3 linked regions of the Oryctolagus cuniculus genome follow. The protein of the gene in region 1 interacts with the protein of each later gene in a pairwise test. Links are inferred from orthologs where the notes say so. Each region holds a gene or a part of one and is shown in the gene's direction. Other genes may lie near its edges.

The links.
Region 2: the proteins of PNMA1 (region 1) and RTP5 interact in binary tests that used the Homo sapiens proteins (3 or more experiments, as listed by UniProt). The two-hybrid records come from large-scale screens. The link is inferred for Oryctolagus cuniculus from reciprocal best matches to the Homo sapiens genes PNMA1 and RTP5.
Region 3: the proteins of PNMA1 (region 1) and SNRPB2 interact in binary tests that used the Homo sapiens proteins (3 or more experiments, as listed by UniProt). The two-hybrid records come from large-scale screens. The link is inferred for Oryctolagus cuniculus from reciprocal best matches to the Homo sapiens genes PNMA1 and SNRPB2.

The regions. Positions count from the first base shown.
Region 1 is NC_091451.1:19,888,785-19,892,710, reverse strand, and holds the start of PNMA1 (paraneoplastic antigen Ma1), read left to right. Parts: upstream 1-1,126; 5' UTR 1,127-2,177; coding exon 2,178-3,239; 3' UTR 3,240-3,926.
Region 2 is NC_091434.1:56,491-60,481, reverse strand, and holds the start of RTP5 (receptor-transporting protein 5), read left to right. Parts: upstream 1-1,191; 5' UTR 1,192-1,527; coding exon 1,528-1,820; intron 1,821-3,502; coding exon 3,503-3,991.
Region 3 is NC_091442.1:41,760,440-41,764,499, forward strand, and holds the start of SNRPB2 (U2 small nuclear ribonucleoprotein B''), read left to right. Parts: upstream 1-1,260; 5' UTR 1,261-1,411; exon of another isoform or gene 1,412-1,484; intron 1,485-3,100; 5' UTR 3,101-3,125; coding exon 3,126-3,189; intron 3,190-3,933; coding exon 3,934-4,060. UniProt on the Homo sapiens protein: Involved in pre-mRNA splicing as component of the spliceosome. Associated with sn-RNP U2, where it contributes to the binding of stem loop IV of U2 snRNA.

The DNA.
Region 1 (3,926 bases):
GGCTGTTTAGCACCCTCTCCACGGGGGCCCGCTTTTCTGGACAGTATTTATTACTAGACTGGCAAGCCTGACTCCTTTAGGTTTACAGGAAGTGTGCATATTTTTATAAAACAAGTGTCCTCCCCCCCCCATTTTGCTGTGTTACTGTTTGCCTCTAACGATTTGCAGCTGTTTCTGTTTCACCTTTTACTCATTTGTCTCCAAGTTGAAGGCCTTGTAGGAGGGGACAGCCTTGACAGTCTGTAATTATTGTACAAATATTTTAATAGCATATAAAGAAGTATATTCCTTTTATTTTGAAACAGATGATCAGACACTGCCTTTTGTGTGTTTGCTGCCTGTGGCAACCTTTTTTAAAAAAGACTGTTACATATGAAAATGGTGTACATATATATAAATATATAAATATTACCTCTTTGGCTGTACAGTTGTGATAGAGCAGATGGAAGATTTTATTTTTTGTGTGCTTTTTATATAAAAATTAATACACTAAAGAGAATCTTGCTGATGTGATTGTAATGTACCTATGTAACTTATTTACTTTTGAATGTTCTTCTGTATCTTTAAACCTTTCATTAAATAAGGTTTTAAAAATTCAGAGTTGGATGCTGTGTTCTTTTGGGGGATTTTCATCCTCTGAGATTGACCGAAGCGGCCCTTGCTCTGGCTTGAAGAGTACCCGAGGCAGGGATTACAGAATACTGGTGCGTTGCCAGCTGTAGGTAGGTAGGTGGCCGGCCTTTTGACTAAGTGTTAGATAAGAGGAAGTGGCCGGCGCCGCGGCTCACTAGGCTAATCCTCCGCCTAGCGGCGCCGGCACACCGGGTTCTAGTCCCGGTTGGGGCGCCGGATTCTGTCCCGGTTGCCCCTCTTCCAGGCCAGCTCTCTGCTGTGGCCAGGGAGTGCAGTGGAGGATGGCCCAGGTGCTTGGGCCCTGCACCCCATGGGAGACCAGGAAAAGCACCTGGCTCCTGGCTCCTGCCATCGGATCAGCGCGGTGCGCCGGCCGCAGCGCACCGGCCATTGGAGGGTGAACCAACGGCAAAGGAAGACCTTTCTCTCTGTCTCTCTCTCTCACTGTCCACTCTGCCTGTCAAAAAAAAAAAAAAATTAGAAAAAAAAAAAAGATAAGAGGAAGTGTCCAGTCTGTGTGTCACACAAGTGGGATACTTGGGAGCCTTCGTTTCCTCTGGATGAGATGCCGTCCACGCACCTGGCTTGATGCGCCAGTTGCATGAGCAAGTCAGCCACCACGGGTGATACCCACTAGTATCTGAAATCCGCTCCGGATTAGAAGACAGAAGCCCTCGATGCTTATTGGTATTTTTTTTTTCATTGTAAAAGTCTGGAACATCTGATGGCTGCGGTACCATGGCAACCGCTCCCCCCACCCCGCGCCGCTGCGCACGGAGTCTTCGGGAGCGCGTCGTCCGGGACACCGTTGCCATGGTCACGCGCGCGCGCCTCGCCGGCGACCTGGATCCGGTGCGGCGGCCGCGGCTCGCGGGCCGGCCCCGCCCTGCACTGCGGCGGGAACGCGCCGGCTGCCGAGCTGCGCCACAGCCGCCGCAGCCCGTCGCGCCACGCGAGCCCGGCCGGCCCCACCAGCCTTCGCCTCCCGCCTCGCTTCTGCATCCTTCCTGCGTCTTTGCTCCCCTCAGCCCTCGGTTTTCAGCGGTCCTCGCTGTCCGGAGGGGTCCCCGCGCCCGAGAAGAAGCCGCTGCTCGCCGGCTGGCCCGGCTGCCGCCGCGGTGACCTCGGACAGCCTCTCCCGCCGGGCCCGGCACGCCGAGCGCTCCTTCGGGCTGCCGCTCCTCGCCCCGCTGAGGGCCGGGCTCGGACCGCCAGCGCCGGGGCGACTCCGGGAGCGGCGGCCACGCCCCGCGGCCACACCCCGGCGCTCCCGGGCCCCGCGGCTCCCGCAGGCTGCACTCTGGGGCCGCAGACCCCGACCCGGGACGCGAGATGGCGACAGCCGCGTGACTGACTGAGCCCCTGCGAGGCCGCGCCGGGGAGCCGCAGACGGACAGCGGGGCTTGGGTGTCGCTTGTTACCAGCGACCGCGGGGACCTGCCGCCCGCGCGCCTGCTTGCGGGGAGTGTCTGGTGTTGGTTGGAGTTCGGGGAGCCGCAGTCTGATCCGTATCTGTCGAATCGGTACCTTTGATAGTTGGGAACATGGCGATGACGCTGTTGGAAGATTGGTGCAGGGGCATGGACGTGAACTCCCAGAGAGCGCTGCTGGTTTGGGGGATCCTAGTGAACTGTGATGAGGCTGAAATCGAAGAGACCCTCCAGGCTGCGATGCCCCAGGTGCCGTATCGAGTGCTTGGGAGAATGTTCTGGAGGGAAGAGAACGCGAAAGCAGCCTTATTAGAGCTCACTGGCGCTGTGGATTACGCCGCGATCCCCAGGGAGATGCCTGGCAAAGGAGGGGTGTGGAAAGTGCTTTTTAAGCCCCCCACGTCTGACGCTGAATTTTTAGAAAGGCTGCACCTCTTCCTAGCTCGGGAGGGGTGGACCGTGCAAGATGTTGCCCGCGTCCTTGGGTTTCAGAACCCGGCCCCGGCCCCGGGCCCCGAAATGCCAGCCGAGATGCTCAGCTATATTTTGGATAATGTTATTCAGCCTCTCGTGGAGTCCATATGGTACAAGAAGCTGACGCTGTTCTCGGGGAGGGACATCCCGGGGCCTGGGGAGGAGAGCTTTGACTGCTGGCTGGAGCACGCTAATGAAGTCATAGAGGAGTGGCAGGTGTCCGACACAGAAAAGAGGCGGCGGCTGATGGAGAGCCTCCGGGGCCCCGCCGCCGACGTCATCCGCATCCTCAAGACCAGCAACCCCGCGATCACCACCGGCGAGTGCCTGAAGGCGCTGGAGCAGGTGTTCGGGAGCGTGGAGAGCTCTAGGGATGCGCAGGTCAGGTTTCTGAACACGTACCAGAACCCGGGAGAGAAGTTGTCGGCTTACGTCATTCGTCTGGAGCCGCTGCTGCAGAAGGTGGTGGAGAAGGGGGCCATTGATAAAGAGAACGTGAACCAGGCCCGCCTGGAGCAGGTCATCGCCGGGGCCAACCACAGCGGGACCCTCCGAAGGCAGCTCTGGCTGACCGGCGCTGCGGAAGGGCCGGCCCCGAACCTCTTCCAGCTGCTGGTGCAGATCCGTGAGGAGGAGGCCAAGGAGGAGGAGGAGGAGGCTGAGGCCGCGCTCCTGCAGTTGGGCCTGGAGGGGCACTTCTGAGCCCCAGGAAAGAGGGCTGCCGTGCAGACCCGGCCCGCAGCTGCTGTCCTGGTCCCGAGTAGTAAAGGCCTAGCTGCCTGCTGTTTTCGTTGTGTTTTTCTTGGAGGGAGGGGGTTCTGGCCTGCCCGTTCCTGTAACTCCGCCGACACTGCACAGAGCATGGGGAGCTGCTACAATGCCGATGGGCTTGCTGGCTGCGGCGCCCGCTGTCGACATGCCGGCACCCTCGGCTGTGACAAGTGTGAACCCGTGACTCTTCCCATGGAGATAAATGTGAAGTCGCACGTGCAGATGTTTAGCCCAGGGCCTGGCTCGCAGGAACCGTGAACCATCACATTGTTATCAGCGTCGAGGCTAGTGTGTGTTGACTGTAAATCATTCCATGTTTATATTAATGGAAAGAAACGTGCATTGTTTAGGTAATACTGCTCAGCCTCACAGTGCAAATCTCTTAGTGCTCATCTTTAAAGAGCCGGATCTGTGGAACAGAGTGTTCTGAGACTCCAGCTGGGGCGCTGGAAAAGGACTGCAGTTCCGGAGCTGTGCTGATCAGAGGTCGCGCAGAGAAACCACCTGGGGAGATGGCTAGGACCCGGTGACAGTGACCCACCCATCCCCCCACTCCCCTTCCAGTCCTTGTCAAAATAGTTCTTGTTCACCCAGATTTTAAATGTTCTACATTTGAAC
Region 2 (3,991 bases), on another chromosome or scaffold:
TGCTGTCACCTCACCCGACTGCTGGTTCCAGTCCTGGCTGCTCCACTGCTAGTGCACCTGAGAGAGCGGCAGGGGATGGCTTGAATTTTTGGGCCACTGCACCCATGTGGGAGACTCGGTTGGGTTTCAGGCTTCTGGCTTCCGTCTGGCCCAACCCCAGCCATTGCAGCCATCTAGGGAATGAACCAGCAGGAGGAAGATCTCTCCCTGCCCCCCAGCCCGTCTTTCAAATAAACAAAATAAAAATAATTTAAAAACAAGAAAACAAAACCAGAAGGACCAAGCACCCTGCCCACAAGTAGAGGACAGATGGGTAGCCAGCCAGGTGCAGACGGGGCAGGGCGGAGTGAGCTGAGTGACCACGTGTGGCATGGAAAGGGCACATCCCCAAGACCTTGGACGGTCGTCTGCAGGCCCTGCACCTGCAGCTGGGCCCAGAGAGCTGGGCAGGTGGGCTGTGCAGCTGTGAGCAGGGCAAAGTGAGCTGAGCGACCACGTGTGGCATGGGAGAGGCACTGAGCCCGTCCAGGGGCATGTCCCTGAGACCTGGGACATCATCTGCAGGCCCCCAGAGAGCTGGGCAGGCGTGAGCAGGGCAGCCCGCCCCAGTGACTGGAAGGGACAGCTTCCAGGGGCCCACAGAGGCTACAAGGCTCTGGTTCCATGTGTGTGGGGTGTCTCCCGGGGGTCCCCTGAAATGGCCCTTGGGGGTGTCTATTCTTGTCAGCATGAGCTTCTCCAGCAGCCAGAGCAGCTGCCCACAAGCTCCTCTCCATGGTGGCTGCCCTGAGCCAGGTGCCCATGCTCAGGGCTCCTGGGGCCACCTCTGCACCCCAGCCTCAACATGGCCCTCGTCCTGGAGAAGCTGCCCAGCCACGGTCACCAGAGGCCGCCTCGGCTTGAGTCCTTCACTGACAGCTGTGGGTTGGCCGTGCGTGCAGCCCTGCCATCCTGGACGGCCAAGGCTGGCCTGCTTTCTGCACTAGCTTTCTCTCGCTGTTCCCTGAGTCTTGGGAGGGAGGGAGAAGCCAGACATGCTGTTTCCGCAAGCTGTGAGCAGGGCTGCTGAGGCTGCGGCTCAGGCCGTGCAGCCACAAGCGGGGCTCGGCCTGGCTGGGGGCAGCGCAGTGGTGGAGGGGCCTGAGGCTGGCGGCAGCAGGGACAGCTGCGGGCTGGTTCTTTGCCTGGGAGGTGTGAGGCTGGCATGTATGTTCTAGGCATTTTTATGTCGGTGTCTTAGAATTTAGTGCCATGCTGTTCCAGTTCAGGGTTGGCAGTCCGCTGGAAAATACCAGACCCTTGGAGAGACGCTCACGGGACACTGCTCACGCGTCGTGCAGGGAAGAGAGCAGCTGCAGGCGATGCATGCGTGTCACATGATCTCTGGTCTGTGACAGTGGCTGTGCAAGCATACACGCCCATGTACACGGCAGCCACACAGACATCAGCACACCCAGCTCGTCGCGACCGTGACCTCTGGGTGCTGGGGTCACAGGCGATTTCATTGTATTTTTCCTCTCTGCTTCCATGTCTCTGAGACAAACCGGTTGCCACGGAGACCGTGCTGTTGTCAAGGCAGCTGATTGGCCAGCGCGGGACCGAGGCTTCCTGGGAGCCCCTGAACGAGTGCGGCTGTCAGCCCGCAGTGCAGACACGCGCAGCATGGACGCGGCTGGGGCGGACGTGTGGGTGAGCACCTTCGCCCAGCTGATGAGCGAGAGGAAGCCCCGAGACGCCTGGGTCCTGCTCCCCCAGGAGAGCCTGGCCGCGGGGCCCCTGGACGGCAGCAGCTTCCAGTATCGGCTGAAGGGGCTTTCAAGGTGCGGCCAAGGGCAGGCGGGGGGGAGCCCCCTGTGGGTGAGGGGAGGCTGAAGGCGCCTTTCTAGGCTCTGAGACCGGGCCCGAGTGGCCCTGGAGTGGGTGCTGTGGGGCTGGCAGCGGGCATCCACCCCGCCTGGACTTGTCCCCCATCAGGTGGGTGGGGCCGGGCGGTGCCAGAGCTGAGACCCGACAGTGCTGACATCATGGCTGCCAGGGGGGTGGGCGCTCCCCTGGCCTGCGCTGTTCCCGTGGTGTTGCCATGGTGTCCAGGCAGGGCCTGGAATGCGCAGGTGCGGTGCTCAGGCCTGAGCAACCAGCCAGCCGGGCAGTCCTGCTTGGGGAGGCTGTGGCAGAGGGTCCCCAGGGAGCCTCATACTTCATCACCACCATGAACCTCCCCAGCGTGCATCCCTGGCTCATGGCGCCAGCCAGGGGGCAGCTCTAGCAGCTCCGTCGGCCCCTCGGCATGCTGACCGGTTGTCCTGCTCTCTGCCTCTGACCACATAGCTCCCGAGCACCGGATCTGGGGGCCAGTGTGTGGTGGAGCCCTGGCTCTTCCAGGTGCTGGGTCTGAGAAGACCGAGAAGCCCCTGCCTGGCCCCACAGCCAAGTGCTGCCATGTAGCGCATGCAGGTGGCTCTGGTCACCCAGACGACGGGGACCACGACACCCATGTCTCCAGCCAGGGCCACCAGGCACCTGTGGCTTCTGATCGCTAATCAGACTTAAGCAGAGTTAGAAGTTCAGCTCCACGTCCATGCGCTCTGTAGGCTCCTCGGCCGCGCAGGGTCTAAAGCAGTTCCATCGTCTGGAAAGTCCCATGGGCAGCGCAAAGACAGGGTCACTGAGGGCAGCAATGAGTGGCCCTTCATCTGCCCCCCCGCCCCGTCTTTTTAAAAAGTTTACTCATTTTTATTTAGATGAAGGGCAGACTGATGGGGGTGGGGAGAGACAGAACTTCTCCCATCCAATGGTTCAGCCTTCGAACGGCCACAACAGCCAGGGCTAGCCAGGCTGAACTCCATCCGGGTCTCCCACGTGGGTGGCAAGGGAAGCCAGCACCTTCGTCACCGAGGTCCATTGGCAGGAAGCTGAATCGGAAGCAGAGGCGGAGATTCCAGGTGCTCCGATACGGGATGTGGGTGTCTCAGGTAGTGGCTTAATCTGCCCACCCCAACCCAAGGACCTTGGAGGAGAGTCCATCCTGGGGGCCAGGAGCTGGGCGCTTCTTTCAGCCAGGGGTGTGGTGCCCAACTCTCCAGCTCACATATGAGGTGCACTGTTCAGAATCCAGGGGGCTTGTCCAGGGTCCCCCGAGCCTGCACTTAGCTGCAGGGGGCATCCCTCACACCAGCACCCCCTTAAATTTCCCAAATTTCTCATCACCTGGCCAGGCCCAGCCGGGAGGCCCTGAGTCGGCTCCCCCTCCTGCCCTGGCACTCAGGGAGTCCACACTGCAGACAGCAGAATGTGGGGGCGCGTGGCTCCCAGGCCTCCGGCCGGGGTGCACCCTGGTGCTGCCCTGCTGTGCGCGTGTCTGCGTCTCAGGTCTTCAAGCTGCAGGGCCTGGCCCAGAGCGAGGCAGCTCCGAGCGCTGCGGCTGCGCCGGCCGGCACCCGGCTGTTCCCGGGCTGGAGCTGCGTCCTGCCCGGCCGCGGCTCACGGCCCTCTCTCCCCGCAGGCTCCAGTGCAGCCGCTGCCTGTGGGTCTGGCGCTCGGCGCACGTGCACATCCTCTTCCACCTGTGGTGGGACGCGGGCAGCCGCCAGGGGCTGGTCAAGATGCGCGTGTGGGGCCAGCGGTGCCGGATGTGCCCCCCGGGGCCGCCGGGCCCCCGCGGCGACTGCCAGGTGAGCCCCCTCAACGTGTGGATCTTCCTCAGCAAGCTGGTGCTGCACATCCTGAGGCGGTGCTACGGCGACCACCTCAGCCAGTGCCCCGAGGTCCGCTTCGGCGACCGCTGCGAGGCCTGTGAGCTGCAGCTCTGCTTCCTGCAGACGGCGCCCGAGCTGGCCTGGGGGCCGGCGGCCAGGGCCGGGCACGCGGCCGGCTGCTGCGCCGGCGGCCACGACCCCGGCGGCCTCGCCGAGACCGACTTCCTCGACGGCGCCGCGGCGGACGGCGGCGAGTGCCCGCACGAGGGCGCCCGCGTCGTCTCGCTGCCCTTCTC
Region 3 (4,060 bases), on another chromosome or scaffold:
GACTCTTTTAATTACTGAAGGTTTTTAAATGAACAAAACAGACAAAAATCCCCACCTTCAAAGTACTTACATTATTTTTAAGTTGTTGCAACTTTATGTTGACTCTTAAAATAAAACTCCTCAGGTGATAAAATCAAACTATTTGGCCCCTACCACCTTCATCCATACCTCCAAGTCATAGTTAGAGTCTAGAGGTAACATTTAGGAACCAGTGACTTTGTGTAATGTTCTAATCATTTTACAGAGCACCCATTTAGTCCCCAGAGTGATAAGAAGGTACTATTAAGATTCCTGTTACATAGGCAAGGAAAGAGAAAGAGAGATTTAGTTAAGAGGAAGACACAAGGTTAGATTTACTTTGGCTTCTTTAAAAAAATTTTTTTGACTTATTTATTTGCAAAGCAGAGAGAGACAGAGCTCTTTCATCCACTGATTCACTCACCAACTGGCCACAAGGCCGGGGGCTGGGCCAGGCTGAAGCTAGGAGTCTGGAACTCCATTCTGGTCTCCCAGGTGGCTTGCAGAGCCCCAAGTACCTGAGCCCTCAGCTGCTGCCTCCCAGGACAGGATGCATCCGCAGGAAGCCGGATCAGGAGCAGAGCAGCCTGGACACAAATACGGGACGCTGGAGCCCCACGCAACGTCCCAAGCCATGGGGCCCTTTGCTTTGACTCCTAAAGCCTTCCTATTCCAGGTGGCTCTTAGCACGTCTCAGATGACGGATGAACGAATGACCAAATGCACGGTTTTGAATTTCCATTCACTAACACCTTAAGTTATCTCCAGAAAAATCTAAGCATCTGCGGGGAGTGCAGTGAGAAGGGTGTCGGGAACTCAAGTGTTTTGTGGTGTTTTGAGTGAGTTTAGGTAGATGTTAAAGGCACACCCCACTCAGTCTCTGCTCCAGGGCCTCCGACTCCAGCTCTGCCTCTCAGAGTTAAGCTCATCAGCAGAGTGTTGAGGAGCTACCTCAGAACCCCTGGCAGCAGTATAGGCTGTCCTAAAGGTGAGGCTGACCCATAGAAGGGGTGAAACCAGCAGGAGGGGCTGCGCCCGCAAACCTCACATAGGATTCAGAAAGGTAGAGGGAACTGCTATGTGAGTTAAAACCTCCCTCAGTCTTAGTGGGGGTAAATGAACCACTCTTTTTTATTACCTCACAGCATGGCCCCAGGGTTCTATCCAGTTCTCTCAACCCTCTTCCGTTTTCCCGGGCCCTCTTTCAGCAGAGCACGTAGGCGCATGCGCAGAGAGTTCCCCAGCTTGGGGCCGCGGGAGACCGGGAGGCATCGATCGACTCGGCGCTGGGCTTCTCGACTTGTCGGCGCTCGATTGAGGAGTTTCATTGTCACTTCCGCCTTCGGCACCGTTTCCGGCTTCCGGTTGCTCGTGGGAACGGCGTAGTCCTCTGGTGAGTCGGATTCCCGTTTTCCTCGGTTTTGCGGTTCTTCACGCTGCTCAGCCCGAACAGTACGAGGCGCGAGGTGTGGTCGGGTGGCGTCTCGCCTTGGTTTTGTGGAGGGGTCGGTTTGAGACGAGGGAGCGGCCATGCAGGGGAGCTTAGCAGCGGCGCGCGTCTCTGGCGGGACTGGCGCGGTCCTTGGATCGCGGCGTGGCCCCGGGGCAGAGAGTCTGTGTCTGGAGAGGCAGGAAGCTGGCGCGTACAGAGTACGCCCGTTAATGCGAGGCGTGGGAGATTCCAGGTGGTTTCCTGCGGATCTGTTGTTTCTGTTTTGGCGGAGGGGAGAGGTGCGACACCAGGTGCCCTGCTCTGATTAGCCCAGCACCGAGCTTCTTGGTCTCTTGTTCTCCTCGCCTTCACTTTAATCTCTCTCGCTCCCTTCTCATGGTCAAAACTTGGCGACCCCCTGCTCCTCTTCCAGGTTTCGACTGGGGAAATGTCGAGTCTTTAAGAAACGTTTCTATTCATCTGCCACCTGCACAAGTACATCGGTCTATAGGCTCCTCCCTCGCTGTGTGTAAACACAGCAAGCAGTGTTTAGTACCTAATTATCTGTGGGCCATCCAGGGAAGTAAAGCAAGGTCACACTTGGCAACTTAAAAACCACGTGAAGTGTGGAAATCGTCCAGTGGGTTGCAAGGACGGAATTCCCAGGCCTTCTGATCAAGAGCTGTGTGACCTCAAGCGTGCTCCCTGACTTGTAACAGCCATGATATTAGCTCCTTTGGGGGCTTCTGATGCAAGAGCTGTGCTAGAACTTCGGGGGCTCTGGCCAGCCCCGCCCCCACCTCAGCCCCGTCTGACAGATGAAGACCTGAGAGATTAAGGTCTTTGCCAAGTCTGTTAGAGGTCATCCTGGAGTGAAGATGGCAGGTGGAAATTTATGCACAGTGATTGATAGATATGGAAGTGCTTTGTAAGTGCACCCAGGAACAAACTACATTGATGTTCTGTCTTAACGATTTGTTCTGGATTGTACACTTGGTAGTTTCTTTTTCATTTTTCTTTATGTCAAAATTTTTAAACCAGCTTACAAATACAAGTTACTTCATTAGGCAGATGGGAAGTAGCACAAGTGAAAGGAAAGTATAAAAATGTATTGAATACAATTTTATTAAACTCTGGCAAGCTGCTGTTGTTTCACTAAATTTTGAGCTTGAGAATTGTAAAAATGAGGGCTTGCGGTTTGCATCTGATGTAGCAGTTAAGATGTCTGCCCCATGTCAGAGTGCCTGGGCTTGAGTTCCGGCTCTCGCTCCTGACTCCGGCTTCCGCTAATGCAGACCTGAGAGACAGCAGTGGTGGCTCAAGTGATTGGGTTCTTGCACACACGTGGGACACCTGGATTGAGGAGCCTCTAGCTTCACTTGACCTCAGTCGAGCTGGGCCACAGCTGGGCATTTGGGACGTGAAGCAGAGCTTTGGAGCTCATTGTCTGCCTCTGGCTGTGTGTGCGTTTGCCTCTCAAACAGAAATACAGAGGAGGACTAGCTATTGCTGGAGAGAGAGTCTATGACCCAACTGACATTCTGACATAGCGATTGAAAGAAAACGGAAAAGCCAACAGCTTTCTGCTGTATTGATTTAATCACACCTGTTTGTAACAGTTTTTTTTTTTTTTTTTTATCCTCTCTTTAGGCTATTTGAACATTTTAACTCAGACATGGATATCAGACCAAATCATACAATTTATATTAATAATATGAATGACAAAATTAAAAAAGAAGGTAAGTGTTTTTAAAAATACTTATTGATAACTAAAATGTGTTTGTTTACTACCATCTTACAAAATTGTACTACACCCAAACTCATTTTTCTTACCTCCAGTAATAAATTTTTTTTTTTTTTTTTTTTTGACAGGCATAGTGGACAGTGAGAGAGAGAGAGACAGAGAGAAAGGTCTTCCTTTTGCCGTTGGTTCACCCTCCAATGGCCGCCGCGGCCGGCGCATCACGCTGATCCAATGGCAGGAGCCAGGAGCCAGGTGCTTTTCCTGGTCTCCCATGGGGTGCAGGGCCCAAGCACCTGGGCCATCCTCTACTGCACTCCCTGGCCACAGCAGAGGGCTGGCCTGGAAGAGGGGCAACCGGGACAGAATCTGGCTCCCTGACTGGGACTAGAACCCGGTGTGCCGGCGCCCCAAGGCGGAGGATTAGCCTAGTGAGCCGCGGTGCCGGCCTCCAGTAATAAATTTATAAAGTTTGTGTAAGGATTTCCAGGCTTTTTAAAAACAAAAATAGGTAGTGACTGACAACATGCTGAATCTGTTCTTACTCATAGCTACTCATATAATGGTTTCAAATAACTTTTTACGTTAGATAACCAATGGGAATAGCAATTTGTGTTTTTACTTACATATATAACTACTAACTGTATAAATAAATGGTGACAGAGCACTCAATGTACTGTCATTTAATGAAGAATTTTCTCATTCCTTCGTTCACAAGTTATTTCCCCTCTTATTTGGACAGAATTGAAGAGATCCCTGTATGCCCTATTTTCTCAGTTTGGCCATGTGGTAGATATTGTGGCTTTAAAGACCATGAAGATGAGAGGGCAGGCCTTTGTTATTTTTAAGGAACTGGGCTCATCCACAAA